Linked DNA regions of Arabidopsis thaliana. The protein of the gene in region 2 interacts with the protein of the main gene of each other region in a pairwise test. Each region holds a gene or a part of one and is shown on either strand. Other genes may lie near its edges.

Region 1 (3,984 bases), on a different chromosome or scaffold from region 2:
TTTGAATATATTTTTTTTAAATTGATTTTGATTTAACTCAAAGCCCACACTTCTTAATCCATCTTCTCTATAATTAGTATGCCAACAAATATATATGCTTGTTCTGTCTCAAATTTCAACAATAAAGCGTGTATAGCTCCCAAAAAGCTATGTTGATGAGTTATCACTCTTTTTATGGATTGGACTAATAGTTTGTCTCATGTCAAAATGATTATACATAACTCAGAATCCAGCAGTATAGAGAACTTAACTTTTATATATATGTTAACCCTCATAACCTCAAACAGAAAATTTGTAGTGCAGTGTAGAAAACATCCTTAAACATAAAGTAAATCCTTTAACAAAAAAAATAAATATAAGTGGCAAATCAAGAGATTCTGCTTTTGAGTCCAATGTATGTATAGTTGGATGTTCTGAAGAAGATCCATTGTTTTGGTTGTTTCTCTACAGTTAAACGATTTTTATATTTAACTTATTAATGCAATTGAGTGAAAATTTCACGATGAAGAAAAAAGTTGTGAATCATGACAAGTTTTGTCCTCAGTTTTGCAGTGAAATCATTTTGCGTGAAAATTTTATGAGAGAAACAAAAAAAAAAAAAACTGATCAAAAGATCAGGAAAGGACCATTCTTAATTTATAACATGTGGGCAAGTCAAGGCTTGCTGGCATCAAACTTGAATAAATGTAATCATATTCACACCATGTATTGTTTAATATATAATTTTAATATCTTAATTGGTCATCTATTTTTGTCTTTTTGCATCGCATATGTGTCATAATTAATATCTGTACGATGTAGAGGCTAGTGAATATAAAGTGAAAACATAGATATATCGATCTTAAACCAATGGTATCTTACACCATATGTATATGCTTGTTTGAAAATATTTATTCTACGAAAGTATTAATTGGATTGATTGTTTTCACTCTCTTGAGTAATTTTGGATAAGTTAATAGTTATTATTTTTATTACACATGATTAAGGTGTATTGTTAATTATAAATCATATTTATACGAAGACATGGTTGAATAATGTCCAACACAGCTTATTTTAGCAAAAACTAATGTACGAGGAGTGACATTTAGGGTCTTGATATTTTTGAAGCAAAATTAAATACGTCTGCAAGATTTTGCAGAGGGAGGCATGTACTATATCATCTGCAATAGTAGCAACATAGATAAAAGTCATAAACCCCTAGATCCGGTCCCTTTAATTTAATTCATATATATGATTTGACATAAAATTACTTTTGTTAAAAAGTTTGTTTTTACATTAAATTCTTCTATCTTTTTTCTAAATATCAGTTTAATATACATTTGTAATTTTTCTTGCAATCCCTAGCCAGCTTAATGATATCATTTTTTTTCCTTCTTTATATCCAGAGAAATTTTATGCGGAAACGTAGATTAATATCATCGAACTTGTTGATCCAATTTGTTTTATCTTTTAAAACATTTACAGTGATTACAAAATAGAATATATAGCAAGTAAATATCCAACGAAAACACATAATGTCTTTAACAAAAAAAAAGAACGAAAAAAAAAAGAAAACACATAATGTCACCATTAGAAACTCGTGTCTACACCAGAAGTCATTAGTTTAAGATATTCATTTTTTTTTTTTTTGATAAGATGATATTAAATGTTGTTAAAATAAACAATAAAAATGCAATTATGGACTGCATATACACGTCCAACACTTTGACAATCTGTATCGCTCTCTCTCTCTCTCTATATATATATATGTCATGGTCTCACTATGATTGTTCTATAAATACAAGCCTCCTAACTCATAAAATAAGCATAACCCTAACTCTACAAAGTTCTTCTGATTCTTTCTCTCTCTCTCTTTCTTTCAAGAGCGGTTTTCAATCCATTCGCTAAAGACCATGAACCTAGAAGAGAAACCAACCATGACGGCTTCAAGGGCTTCCCCTCAAGCCGAACATCTCTACTACGTCCGGTGTAGCATCTGCAACACCATCCTCGCGGTAAATTATTACCTACATATAAGAAGATATATAAGCATATATATACTTGCATGACCCTATATATGTTGATAATATCACATACATGCTAAGCTATACATATTGTTGTTTATGTTATATATATATATATTTCTTCAAATTTTCGAGCTAATTTGTAAACCGAATCTACACACATATATAGGTTGGGATACCATTGAAGAGAATGCTTGACACGGTAACGGTGAAATGCGGCCATTGTGGTAACCTCTCGTTTCTCACCACAACTCCTCCTCTTCAAGGCCATGTTAGCCTCACCCTTCAGGTATATAACACTTGTGTTATAGTTATACATACGAGTATAATTCTTTTTATACAAAAAACTGATACTAAGCCAATCTTTGTTTTAACTAAGCAGATGCAGAGCTTTGGTGGAAGTGACTATAAGAAGGGAAGCTCTTCTTCTTCCTCTTCCTCCACCTCCAGCGACCAGCCCCCATCTCCCTCACCTCCCTTTGTCGTCAAACGTAATTAAGCTTATTACCATTTCTGACTCCTTTTTCTTCTATAAACTTAATCACTATCTACATATATATGATTATCTGTTGAACATCTTTGGTATTGTAGCTCCTGAGAAGAAGCAGAGGCTCCCATCTGCATACAACCGCTTCATGAGGTTTAACCTTTGACATATACTCTTTAGTTCCAAGTTAATTATGAAATTTAATGCATAAAAAATAAATATAATTTAGTACTCTTCTTCATCTTTTTTTGAAACAAAATATAAAAAGGGATGAGATCCAACGCATCAAAAGTGCCAATCCGGAAATACCACACCGTGAAGCTTTCAGTGCTGCTGCCAAAAATGTAAGACAAGTCTCTTTTTGTTACCAACCATTGTTGTCACCTTTAATATTATTTTTTCACAATTTCGTTTGTGTAAATGAAAAATGTCACAAACAGTGGGCTAAGTACATACCCAACTCTCCTACTTCCATTACTTCCGGAGGCCACAACATGATCCATGTAAGCTATACAAACTAAGTCTGCATAAGGACATATTTATATACATTATATAAAGATTTAAAATGTTTTGTTCAATTAGGGCTTGGGATTCGGTGAGAAGAAGTGAACAAAACTCAGGGGAAAAGAAGCCTAAAAATAACAAACGCATGCACGTGTGCGAGTGGCTGCGTCGTTTTTCTCATCTTGTGTTGTTCTTCTGTGTAATTTTCTTATGTATGTCATGTTGCAGAAAATGATGTTGCCTTAGTTTTTATGACTTTATATTTCTGTCTGTCTTTAGATTTGAAAGTAACGTCACTTGCTATGTCCCTTTGGACGTTTATGTCTGGTCTTTATTTGTCTTAATCCTATCAAAATTTTATATGCGTATTCCTTAATTCCATCTGGGACACTTTTTCTTTTCCCCAATGATTTGCAACTTTCAACATCGTAACTTCGAACTCGAGAATCTCAGATCAGTCCTCAGATGACGTGAGTGTACAGAACAAAACAAAACAAAAGTAAAAATTCACTTTTTCAGCGAATATTCATTACATGTATATATACAAATTGTCTGTAACGCTGTGAAAAGGAAGTAGGCATAGATATCTGAAGCAATTTTCTTCAGAACATTATTGACTGGTGAATAATAACACAACAGTTACAAATTACAATAATACGTGTAACATGATCTGATCCTCTTAATTCCTCTATCTAATCACAAACTAATCAAGCCATGCAGGCTTGTCTTGTCCTTCTGCAGAACAATCTCAAGAAACTCGAACCGGTTTAAAGGAATAAGAATGTTGTAACCTTTTATTAGGAGCCAGGGAAATAAAGCTCATTATATTCCTGCTTCACATCACCAGTGTAATTCCTCTGTTGCTCGATTCTTTGAAGATGTGATGACAGTTGCAGTAGATCAACCGTGGATGTTCCTTTTCCTTTACAAGAACTAGAACCAGCAGAATTGGTCTTGCCAGGATCGATCCACAACGGTTGTTCCATCTGA
Region 2 (5,887 bases):
AATAATCTATTAAAAAATAATATGGTTTGGACCTTTTTGCACCCACTAAAATATCAGTATATAACTAAGTTAAATCTTTAAATTAGTAATTACGAATTGCTTGATGTTAAATTAAAGTGTTAATGAGTTTTTCAGAATTTAATTTAACATGATAAATAATAAAATAATCTAAATATTAAAGAGTTTATTAGAAAATAGGCATTTGTCTTGGTTATATATTTATTTTAAGGTATTTCCTTACATGATTTTCGAAAGAGGTACTTTTCTCTTGTGAAAAGTCATCCTTATCCTCCTCTCATTTGCATTATCTTTTACCCAATTGAAGCAATAAGTCGTGTCTGTTTCCTATATTCGATATTTGCATCACCAATTGAAGCAATAAATCGTGTGTGTTCCCTATATTCAATTGAAACAATGGCGATATATGCATCATCTTCTAAATCGCCACTCCTGCAAAGACAACAACTCGGATTTTCAAGAATCCAAGTTTTTATATGGAAAATCACTGAGAGAGAGATCATTGTGAGGGATTTAAACCGGTTTCATCATTTCAAGAATGGACTTGTGGTGATTACTGGTAATTTGAAAAAGACAGGTGAGACGATATTCAAAAACCGGTTTCAACTCATTGTTATTTGTGAACCGATTTATTCTTGGTATAGGAAGACTCTGGGTGGGAAAAGATTCCAACTTTGCTTACGAAGGTTAAGTCGCAACAAAGAAAGCTTCTTTATTTCCGCCATGGACACAGCCTATCGTAGTCATGTGGACAGAACTGAAATTCTCTAAAATCAGAACCGAAATTCCACAAAATCAGAACTAAAGTTCCATAAAATCTATAAATTTTTTCGATTGGGTTCCCTATATATTATCTTAGGGTTTAGTATTGTGTAATTAAAAAGAAAAATTAAGTTTGCTTGAAAAACAAAGAAGAAATCGATTTAATCAGATTTTGCAACTATGTTCGATAAAGAAGAAGAAGAAAGAAGACGATGAAGAAGAAGAGAAGGAAAAAAAGACAGGGACAAAATTGTCCCGATTGAAGCAATAAATCGACACTGTTGTATTCAACTGTGGAAAATACCTATTTTGAAATAACTTTATTTAAAATGCCTATTTTAAATATAAGCTCAATATTAAACACCTTGAACTTATGTGTATTTATTATTTGTGTGTACGGGAAGCAATACCAGAAAATGAAAATCTCTTTTATTTATTGACAATCCATAATCCTACAAATCCTCTAACTTCTAGACTTATGCCGTTATTAAATATTTTAATATATATATATACATATATATTTTTAATAATTATATTTAGGAACGTCTTTTAATTTATCTCCGAGGGTACACTTTTTTTCTTTATCTCTTTTGTTTTTATCTAAAAACAAACTTTTAGGATATTACCTCACGAAAAAAACAATAAATTATTCGTCTAGCACCATCGGAAAAAGACAAAAGACTTCGACTACCCCACTCAGTGGCACAATCCTGTAATTTCTACTAAACATTGATACCCTTTCTCGAATTCATCGTGTTCTTTGTTTTTAATAAGATGGTACTTTTTCCTCATTTTTCAATCTTTTTTTCACCAAGAAGCAGAGAAAAGAAACATTAAAGCAGAGAAAAAACAAAGACAAATAATCTCCATTTGCTTTCTTCTCCATCTTCTTCTAATTTTCTTCAAGTTTTATCAATGGCTGGTGTTACTGGAATCTTAAAGCTTGAAGCTTGGAGCATCTTGTGAAGAAGATTAACTAGTTTCTTGTATTTTTCTTTTCTGGGGTTTTGAGTTTTTTTTTCTCTTCCTTATTACCGGAAGTAATGGCATGTCGGAGTATGATCGCTTTTAGTTTAGATCCTGAAAGAAAACAAAGTGGAGGACTTAGGACAAAACAAGCTGGAAGAGGATCTTGCCGTGGAAGTTAGTCTTTGTTCAAATCCATTTTCCTCTTAAAGAATGTAATAATGGGTTTTTATTGATTGTTGTAGATTTGTTAAAAAGTTTTGTTTTTAGACCTAAAGTTTCGATTTTTTTCTTCTGGGCAGTTTGAAATTGCACTGTTGCAAGTGAAAAAGTTTGTTCTTGTTGGAGCTTAAAGAAGAGAGAAGAGAAAGAGAAAAGCTATGGGAGTTTTACTAAGAGAAGCTTTAAGGTCTATGTGTGTTAATAATCAATGGTCTTATGCTGTTTTCTGGAAAATTGGCTGTCAAAATTCTAGGTACCACTCTTATTCTCCTAATTCTAATAAAGTGTCAAACTTTATTCAGTCAAATATATTCAGTGTTTGTTAGTTTAAAGTTTGAGAATTTTTTGATAAGGGTTTAAAACTCAGATCTCGAGGATGACTAGAATTATTTATCTCTGTTTAATTCTTGGAGTTTTGTGTTTGGTTTGATCTTGTTTGTCTTAAAGAATCTTTCGATTTGTAGTTGTTTTGTCGACAATAACTATATCCTTATTATTTGTTTATGAATTGTCTAAAGAGTTCAAGTTCTTTAACTCTCTTGTCATTTCAATTTTTATTTCTTGTCTTTGTTCGTTTTGTCTTTGTTTAGCCCAAAATCTTTTGTAATCGTCTTTTTGTGGTATTCTAACTTAAACGATTGTTGCATATTTTTGTCATGTGTATTCTAATTTTTTTTTTTTGATGTGTTTTTTTTACTTGTTTTTGTGCAGCTTGTTGATTTGGGAGGAATGTTACAATGAAACCGAATCGAGCTCGAATCCTAGAAGACTTTGTGGACTTGGTGTTGATACACAAGGGAATGAGAAAGTTCAGTTGCTTACAAACCGAATGATGTTGAACAATCGAATCATTTTGGTAGGTGAAGGTCTAGTTGGCCGAGCTGCATTTACTGGACATCATCAATGGATTCTAGCTAACAGTTTTAACCGCGATGTTCATCCACCCGAGGTTATTAATGAGATGCTTCTCCAATTCTCTGCTGGTATTCAGGTTTGATACTTTCTTCATGTTTTGAACATCCTAAGTTAGGCTTCTTTAGTGTATATATATGTTCAAGCTCATAAGAACTGTTTGTGTGTGCTTATTTTGTTTGTTCTTCAGACTGTTGCAGTTTTTCCGGTTGTTCCTCACGGTGTTGTTCAGCTCGGTTCCTCTCTGCCTGTAAGTTCAAGTTACATTGTTATGTGAAGTGAGATTCTTGTTCTTGATTTAACTGTGAATTGTTTTTTGTGTGTTCAGATTATGGAGAACTTGGGGTTTGTGAATGACGTGAAGGGTCTTATCCTGCAGCTCGGATGTGTTCCGGGGGCTCTCTTATCTGAAAACTACAGAACATATGAACCTGCTGCTGATTTTATTGGAGTGCCAGTGTCTCGGATAATACCTTCTCAAGGACATAAGATCCTCCAATCTTCGGCTTTCGTAGCTGAAACTAGCAAACAACATTTCAACTCCACTGGATCATCAGATCATCAAATGGTTGAAGAATCTCCCTGTAATCTTGTGGATGAACATGAAGGAGGATGGCAAAGCACAACAGGATTTCTAACAGCTGGAGAAGTTGCAGTACCTTCAAATCCAGATGCGTGGCTGAATCAAAACTTCTCTTGTATGTCTAATGTGGATGCAGCAGAGCAGCAACAAATCCCATGTGAAGACATCAGTTCGAAACGCTCGCTTGGAAGCGACGACTTGTTTGATATGTTGGGTTTGGATGATAAGAACAAAGGTTGTGACAACAGTTGGGGAGTTTCACAGATGAGAACAGAAGTACTCACTAGAGAGTTATCCGACTTTCGGATCATTCAAGAAATGGACCCTGAGTTCGGTTCTTCGGGGTATGAACTTTCAGGAACAGATCATCTGTTAGATGCCGTGGTCTCGGGTGCTTGCTCCTCCACAAAGCAGATCTCAGACGAAACTTCCGAGTCCTGCAAAACCACCTTGACTAAAGTTAGTAATTCTTCGGTTACCACGCCGTCTCACAGTAGCCCTCAAGGTAGCCAGTTATTTGAGAAGAAACATGGGCAACCATTGGGGCCATCATCGGTCTACGGGTCTCAGATAAGTTCTTGGGTTGAACAAGCGCACAGCTTGAAGCGTGAGGGCAGTCCAAGGATGGTGAACAAGAATGAAACTGCAAAACCGGCTAATAACCGGAAAAGGCTTAAACCAGGAGAGAACCCAAGACCAAGGCCTAAAGATCGCCAAATGATCCAAGATCGTGTCAAAGAGCTGCGTGAAATAATACCAAACGGTGCAAAAGTAAGTGAAAAACTTATCTGTTCTTGGCAAATTAAACAATCCCTAAGAAAGGTTATTACTAACAAAGAGTACATGTGGTTTTTATTTAACAGTGTAGCATTGATGCACTCCTTGAACGTACAATCAAGCACATGCTCTTCTTGCAAAATGTCTCCAAGCATTCTGATAAGCTGAAGCAAACCGGGGAATCCAAGGTATAACATAAAACAATAATATTTTGGTGTCTCTCATGGATTCTTGATCTAACGTTTGTTGTATTGTTATAAGATTATGAAAGAGGACGGTGGAGGAGCAACATGGGCTTTCGAAGTAGGGTCAAAGTCTATGGTGTGTCCAATTGTCGTAGAAGATATAAACCCGCCTCGCATTTTCCAAGTCGAGGTAACATTTCTGCCTAAGGTTCTTAATAAAAAACACTCAAGATCTCGGTTTTGATCGAACGTTTTCTGGTTTTGTAACAGATGTTATGCGAGCAACGAGGATTCTTTCTAGAAATCGCAGATTGGATCAGAAGCTTAGGGTTAACGATCTTGAAGGGAGTCATCGAAACTCGAGTAGACAAGATTTGGGCTCGCTTCACTGTTGAGGTATATTATATAAGTTACACAAGGTTGTTTAACTTGGAAAGATGAGATTGTGTTAGAATGTATCTTATTTAAACTGAAACCGGGTCGATATTGGATTGTAGGCGAGTCGCGACGTGACGAGGATGGAAATATTCATGCAACTAGTGAATATTTTGGAGCAGACAATGAAATGTGGAGGAAACTCTAAGACTATTTTGGATGGTATCAAAGCTACAATGCCTTTACCGGTTACTGGTGGCTGTTCAATGTAATGACACAAATTATTGACCGTACCGGATTGCTCCGGTTTAATAAACCGGGCTGGTTAAAAGCTTGATTCATATAGAGGTTACGAGCGGACCGCTCTCAAGGATTTTAGGCTCGCTATGACTAACTAAAAAGTCAGTCTAAACCAGAGATGATGATTTTTAAGTGTGTTTTTTTTTCTCAACTTTATGTTTTGTACATTAGTTGCGAATTTTCATTTGTGTGGAATTTTTTAATTTTAATTCAGTTTTGGAGTTGTAAAAAATTTAGTTAAATTGTTTAAAATTATTCTCGACCAGTAAGAGTTCAAACAATTCACGGATTTCAAGACCGGTAAAAAGAACCGGTCCATCAACAGCTTTAACAGTACACAACAAAGCTTCACATGTTACAAGTACCTTTATGTTACTTTGATTAGTAACTCTATGTATATAATTAGCTTATTATTAAAAAAAAAAACACAAGAAGCTCTACTTTCAATAAAACACACTCTTTATTAAGAAACGTGAGGCCTATAGAAGAAAAGCTAATAATAGTTAGTTATAATACTTTTGTTAACAGCCTTATAATGTGCTATCATGTGAATTCATAATCTCTAATGGATGTCTTAATCCATTCCTAATATTTACATTTTCTTCATACTACTAATTAGTGGATCAAACTTAGTCCAACATCAAATTCTCAAAACTGCGTTTTTGTTTGTTGTCTCAAAAATGCTTTATTTACACTTTTGAGGTACCTAAACTTTGCTGCAAAAGGTGCATGAACATCTTTGTGTCTTGCTTTAGCCATCTCTCCACTCTATAGATTATGATGGGAT
Region 3 (5,289 bases), on a different chromosome or scaffold from region 2:
TGCTTACAGGATGGGATGAAGGCGTTATCGGAATGCAAATTGGAGAGGTTGCTCGCTTGCGGGTATGTATACTCTGCTTCTCTCATCATGTTCCTCTTTGCCATCTATGCTTTTATGGCTCTCTGTTGAAGCACTTTTGTCTTTCATGATAGTTTGGGTGTTTCGTTATATGTTTAACATCTTTGGCTTGCGATCTTATCTGCTTCTGCAGTGCTCATCGGATTACGCATATGGCGCTGGTGGATTTCCGGCATGGGGGATCCAGCCAAACTCTGTTCTCGACTTTGAAATCGAAGTACTGAGCGTGCAGTAATGATCTCCCCAGCTCCTAAACTGTGGGTAGATTATTAAACAACCCTTTATGTTTATTGCTTCTGGGATCTTTATGCAACAAAACTTTGTGATGTCATTGCTCTTCTAAAACTCTTGGACAACGTTTTTATCTAAATAAAAGAAAAGACCCGTCTCGTGTTTCAGTTGGAATGTTTGTACTATATTATGATATTATTCCCGTTTTTTTATTTTGATTAAAATGGTTTTGTTTATTCAATCAAAATGCCAATAAAAAGCACAAAAGAATCAAACTAAAACTTCAATCTTAATGACATATCAGACCCAAAGCAAATGGTCTCAACCATAATGAAATTTGAATTGACCACTTCTAATTCAAAACACAGTATAAATTACTGTTCTTAATATCAAATCAAAGGAAGAAAAAAGACTAAAGTTAAAAACTTTTTCAGACAAGATACATAAGTTAACAAAAGAAAGGAAGAAAAAAGAGAGAGACGCGAGAGAAGTCGTGCGGGTAATTAAGCACTTAAAATTCCCGTGCAATTCTTTAATCATCACTTATGCTTCTTTTTTCTTTTTCTTTTCTCCATTTTCATTTTCATTCTTTTTACTTTTCTTTTTCTTTTCACCCACATTCCCCAATCACATAAGTCCTTTTATGAATAATAACTTTTAACATAAATGAAAGTCTACATAATATTTTTAAAAATAAAACAAAAGTATTGAGCTAATTTTGGCGTTGTATAAGCTAGATAGATGCTAAATTGTCAATTTAAATTAAACAATTAAAAAGAGTGGTTAGCTTTTATTCTTTTCCGTCACAATGGGTGTTTGAAACACACACAACACCGCACCTGAACAAATGTACTATTAAAATATAATTAAGGATGAAAAAAAGCTTGAGCACACTTTCACTAACTTAGCTTTCAATAAAATTAAAGAGGGATTATAACCTGAAATAGTATTTATTTAGAAAATAATTAAGGATATAATAAAGCTCGACCACACTTTCACTAACTTAGCTTTTAAAATAAATAAGAGAAAACGTATGAACTTTTACTTTAACGAATTAAGTATATATTAAAAAATTATATTGGTTAGAAAAATATTATTTAATGATAAAGTATAACCTGAAATTATGGACCGTGAGACTTTGTCATCATATATACCATAATTACGTATATACACGTTCGGCCCCCTTGTCCCATTTCTTTCAAGCAAAGCACAAATATAAACATTGCCACCGTTTTTAATTACTAGATTAATTTCCAAGTTACACATATTTTTCCTCTAAATAATTAAAAATTCAAATTGTACAACTTAAATTATGTTACCTTTTGCGTATCTTAGTTTTTTTCTTTTAAAAAAATATAGAATGAAAATTAATTTCGATATATAGAACAAACAAAAAACCGAAAAAATTGAGAATGTGAATTGGTAAAATAAAGTAATGAAAAGGGCAAAAGCGTCATAAAATCTTTTTATAAAGCCTTGTTACTCTTGTTGCCACTCACCTCTTTAGAAATATTTCGTAAAAAAAAATTCTCCGTTTAGACATTATTGTTCGTTGGTCACTTTCATCTCTCTTATCCCTTTGCTTTTCCATTGATTCAGCTCAAAAAAAAACAAAAAAGTCTCATCGTTTTCTCTGGATCTGACCGAAAGATCATTCCTTTCTAAGGTAATCAAAATCCAATTTTTCTCTCTTATAGTCTGTGTCACTGTTCTCTCTGTTTGTGTATCTGGAGACTGTGGTTAAAAACGGTTTGAGTCGTTTGTGAAATGGTAAAGTTCTGTAATTTATGTCTGAATCTAGCTTAGAACATTGTGATTTGTGTATATTCTGAGTTGTAATAGTAAAATGTAGCGTAATTTTGCTGGAATTGATGCTGTGAATACACCCACTTGCTAGACGTTTATAAATCTATGTCCTTTACTGTTTTTGATCTCTGGATTTAGCTCATTTTTGGTGCTGATGAGATTCTTCCTTCGACTTTTTGCACAGATACTAAAGTAGGTTTGAGTGATCAGAATCAATTAGAGTGTGTATAAGAGGAAGAGAAAGAGAAAACAGCATGTGTATTGCCGTATACCGTAAAGTTTTGAGCTTGAATCTGTATTGCCGTGTGATACTGTAGATTGTTTCACCTTTGAAGCAACACCTTCAAGAGTCAAATCCTTTTCTTTCTTATTCATCTTCCCTTCTTTTTCGGTATATTATAAACACTTTTGAAAATGGGATCACAACATTTCTATGTGTACCATTGTGAACAAAGAATCAGCTAGACTAAAAGCTCACTCTCCTTCCACAAACAAAACTTTCCTCCTTTTGGTTTTGGTATCTGTCTACTTTCTTCAATCAAGATTTCCTCAAAGTTATGGTGTGCCAATCACCTGGTAAGACAAGATTTCGAGGATTGAAGTACGAGACCGGAAACGCTAACGAATCAACAATTGTAGTGAGAGTTATTGAATGCTATCAACCGATGGATAATTGCCAGGTTTGTACCAGACAATAATGCTCTTGTTATCATACTTTTAGCTTATATAGTTCTAGTCTTCTAACACTGTGGTTTTGTGATTATTCTTTGTGTTTCAGGCTGAGTACTTCAGACTTCTACTCAAACCAGTCACGTAGTTGGTTGGTGACATTTCGCTGCATTTTTCAATCTGTGATTGTTTTTCGTTCGTCTTTCTTTTACTATTTTCTCGAAAAGGACACAAGAAGTATTGCATTCACTCAGTTGAGCAACTTAACAATCGGTATGCTCTTTTCCCTCTAATTACGCTTGTGATATTACTGACTTTATCTTTCTTGAGCTGATTTTTGCCTCTGTTTTGTCCTGCAGTGTTGTACTTTTTGAAGTTCCCTTGAGCTAAACTGCTAAGAGCATGCCTCTGGATAAGAGGCAACGGGATTTGCCTCTGGGCTTAAGTCCTCAAGCTTGCTTCAAGGATATAGTAGGTCGGTCTGTCCTTCCTAGAATTCCTCTCCCTGAGCTTGGGAAACTATATGCAGCTAAGCTTCAGGCTCGCTGTTTGCAGCCACCACCATTCCAGTCTTTGCTGTGCAGTCATGATAAGGAGTCTTATGGAAAAAGATTCTCACGGTCTGACATGCGGTCTTGGTGCGCTGCTGCTACTACTACTACTACTCCACTTGGAGCATTAGAGTCTTCTCAGAAAAGACTTTTGATATTCGATCAGTCAGGAGACCAGACTCGTCTATTACAATGTCCATTTCCTCTACGGTTTCCATCTCATGCGGCTGCAGAACCAGTGAAACTCTCTGAGTTACAAGGTATAGAGAAAGCTTTCAAAGAAGATGGTGAAGAGTTTCACAAGAGTGATGGAACAGAGTCAGAAATGCATGAAGACACTGAGGAGATCAATGCATTGCTATATTCAGATGATGATTATGATGATGATTGCGAGAGTGATGATGAAGTAATGAGCACTGGTCACTCTCCTTATCCAAATGAAGGAGTTTGCAACAAAAGGGAATTAGAAGAAATCGATGGTCCTTGTAAAAGGCAGAAACTACTGGATAAGGTCAACAACATCAGCGACTTATCATCACTTGTGGGCACTGAGAGCTCCACACAACTCAATGGATCTTCCTTTCTTAAGGACAAAAAGCTCCCTGAATCAAAAACCATATCGACCAAAGAGGACACTGGTTCTGGTCTGAGCAACGAGCAGTCGAAGAAAGACAAGATCCGCACAGCTCTGAAAATACTCGAGAGCGTAGTCCCTGGTGCAAAAGGAAACGAAGCGCTCTTACTTCTGGACGAAGCAATTGATTACCTAAAGTTGCTGAAACGAGACTTAATCTCCACAGAGGTTAAGAACCAAAGCTCCACCACTCACAAGTCACCAATCTTGTTGCTTAAAGAGACAACATGGGGAACAAGAAATCTGCAGACAGATAAGGCGTGAAAGATTCTGACGAGTTAAAACGTGTGAAGTGGGTTTTTGGGTACGTATCCTCTGCACCAGCTTTTTAGCTGTATATAGTGGACTACTTTTAAGTATTATATATGCTACTGCAAATTTCAAAAAGTTAAAGAAGAAAAGAGGTCACTTTCTTCTTCTCTCTGTGTGGAATGAAAAGCCAAAGTCGTCATGGTCATTGATGGACAATGATTATCTTTTTTGGCTGAGTGTGGATGGTGAAATCAAAAGGCAAATATTCAAAGTCTCATCTCAAGCTCGCGTGATCTATGAATCTCCCCTAAGGTAATAAAATATCTCTGACCCACACACACTCTTTTGTCCATATGATGACTAGATGGGTCCATGATTTTTATGAAATATTGATGTCATGTTCATGTAATTAATTTGAGTGTCTGTAATAATGCAAACTATTCCTTTGTCTTTTGCTTCAACCCACATGCTACTGGTATTGTTGTGTCTCTATTGTTGTATTGTTAAATGGTTTTGTAATAAACAAATGGCGTTTTTTGGTTTGTGATAAAAATCGAATCGTTTATGTCACTTATTCCATATTAGAAACCAATAAACATTACAAATTAGGAACAAACAAAAGCTTTTTCTTTTCAAAGAATCAAAATCAAGAAGATACAAAACCATCACTATCACTTCATGAAATTGAGTTCCTCCATCGTCTTGGTTTCCTGGGGGGTGGATGATCAACACCAGCTTGTTCTCCTCCAGAGGATATGTCATGGCTCTCCTGTCCACTCATCTTAGTCAGTTTACTTAGCTTCTTCCAACCGCTGGTCCAAGCCGAAGAAGATGGCGTGTTCTTCACTTTCCCCGTCTTCTCAAACTGTCGTTGCATCACTTCCATCTCGTTCTGAAGCTCGACGTACTTGGTCTTCACCGTCTCTAACTCGAACTTCAACGTGTTAATATCCTTCTTGGCTGCAGCCCATCCTTCCTGCATTCAAAGTAGAGGAATTAGAAAAAAGGAATTTGTGTGAATTTTGATGAGTGTTTTCTCTTACTTGCCTGAAACGATTGTGGTGTTGC

What was found.
Region 1: the proteins of LHW (region 2) and CRC interact in a two-hybrid assay, tested with the Arabidopsis thaliana proteins (one large-scale study listed by BioGRID).
Region 3: the proteins of LHW (region 2) and SAC51 interact in a two-hybrid assay, tested with the Arabidopsis thaliana proteins (one large-scale study listed by BioGRID).

The regions. Positions count from the first base shown.
Region 1 is NC_003070.9:26,006,849-26,010,832, reverse strand, and holds CRC (Plant-specific transcription factor YABBY family protein), read left to right. Parts: upstream 1-1,691; 5' UTR 1,692-1,892; coding exon 1,893-1,994; intron 1,995-2,172; coding exon 2,173-2,292; intron 2,293-2,385; coding exon 2,386-2,494; intron 2,495-2,594; coding exon 2,595-2,643; intron 2,644-2,758; coding exon 2,759-2,834; intron 2,835-2,930; coding exon 2,931-2,993; intron 2,994-3,072; coding exon 3,073-3,099; 3' UTR 3,100-3,483; downstream 3,484-3,984. Other genes in the region: AT1G69170 (Squamosa promoter-binding protein-like (SBP domain) transcription factor family protein), read right to left, coding at 3,792-3,984. UniProt on the Arabidopsis thaliana protein: Transcription factor required for the initiation of nectary development. Also involved in suppressing early radial growth of the gynoecium, in promoting its later elongation and in fusion of its carpels by regulating both cell division and expansion.
Region 2 is NC_003071.7:11,648,769-11,654,655, forward strand, and holds LHW (transcription factor-like protein), read left to right. Parts: upstream 1-1,590; 5' UTR 1,591-1,961; intron 1,962-2,048; 5' UTR 2,049-2,126; coding exon 2,127-2,221; intron 2,222-2,679; coding exon 2,680-2,959; intron 2,960-3,070; coding exon 3,071-3,130; intron 3,131-3,208; coding exon 3,209-4,234; intron 4,235-4,326; coding exon 4,327-4,428; intron 4,429-4,501; coding exon 4,502-4,615; intron 4,616-4,695; coding exon 4,696-4,821; intron 4,822-4,922; coding exon 4,923-5,072; 3' UTR 5,073-5,375; downstream 5,376-5,887. Other genes in the region: AT2G27229 (Pentatricopeptide repeat (PPR) superfamily protein), read left to right, coding at 415-789. UniProt on the Arabidopsis thaliana protein: Transcription activator that regulates root development; promotes the production of stele cells in roots. Coordinately controls the number of all vascular cell types by regulating the size of the pool of cells from which they arise.
Region 3 is NC_003076.8:25,729,834-25,735,122, reverse strand, and holds SAC51 (transcription factor SAC51), read left to right. Parts: upstream 1-1,809; 5' UTR 1,810-1,975; intron 1,976-2,299; 5' UTR 2,300-2,795; intron 2,796-2,893; 5' UTR 2,894-3,057; intron 3,058-3,143; 5' UTR 3,144-3,186; coding exon 3,187-4,233; 3' UTR 4,234-4,788; downstream 4,789-5,289. Other genes in the region: FKBP12 (FK506-binding protein 12), read left to right, coding at 10-62, 212-313; Phototropic-responsive NPH3 family protein, read right to left, coding at 4,898-5,197, 5,269-5,289.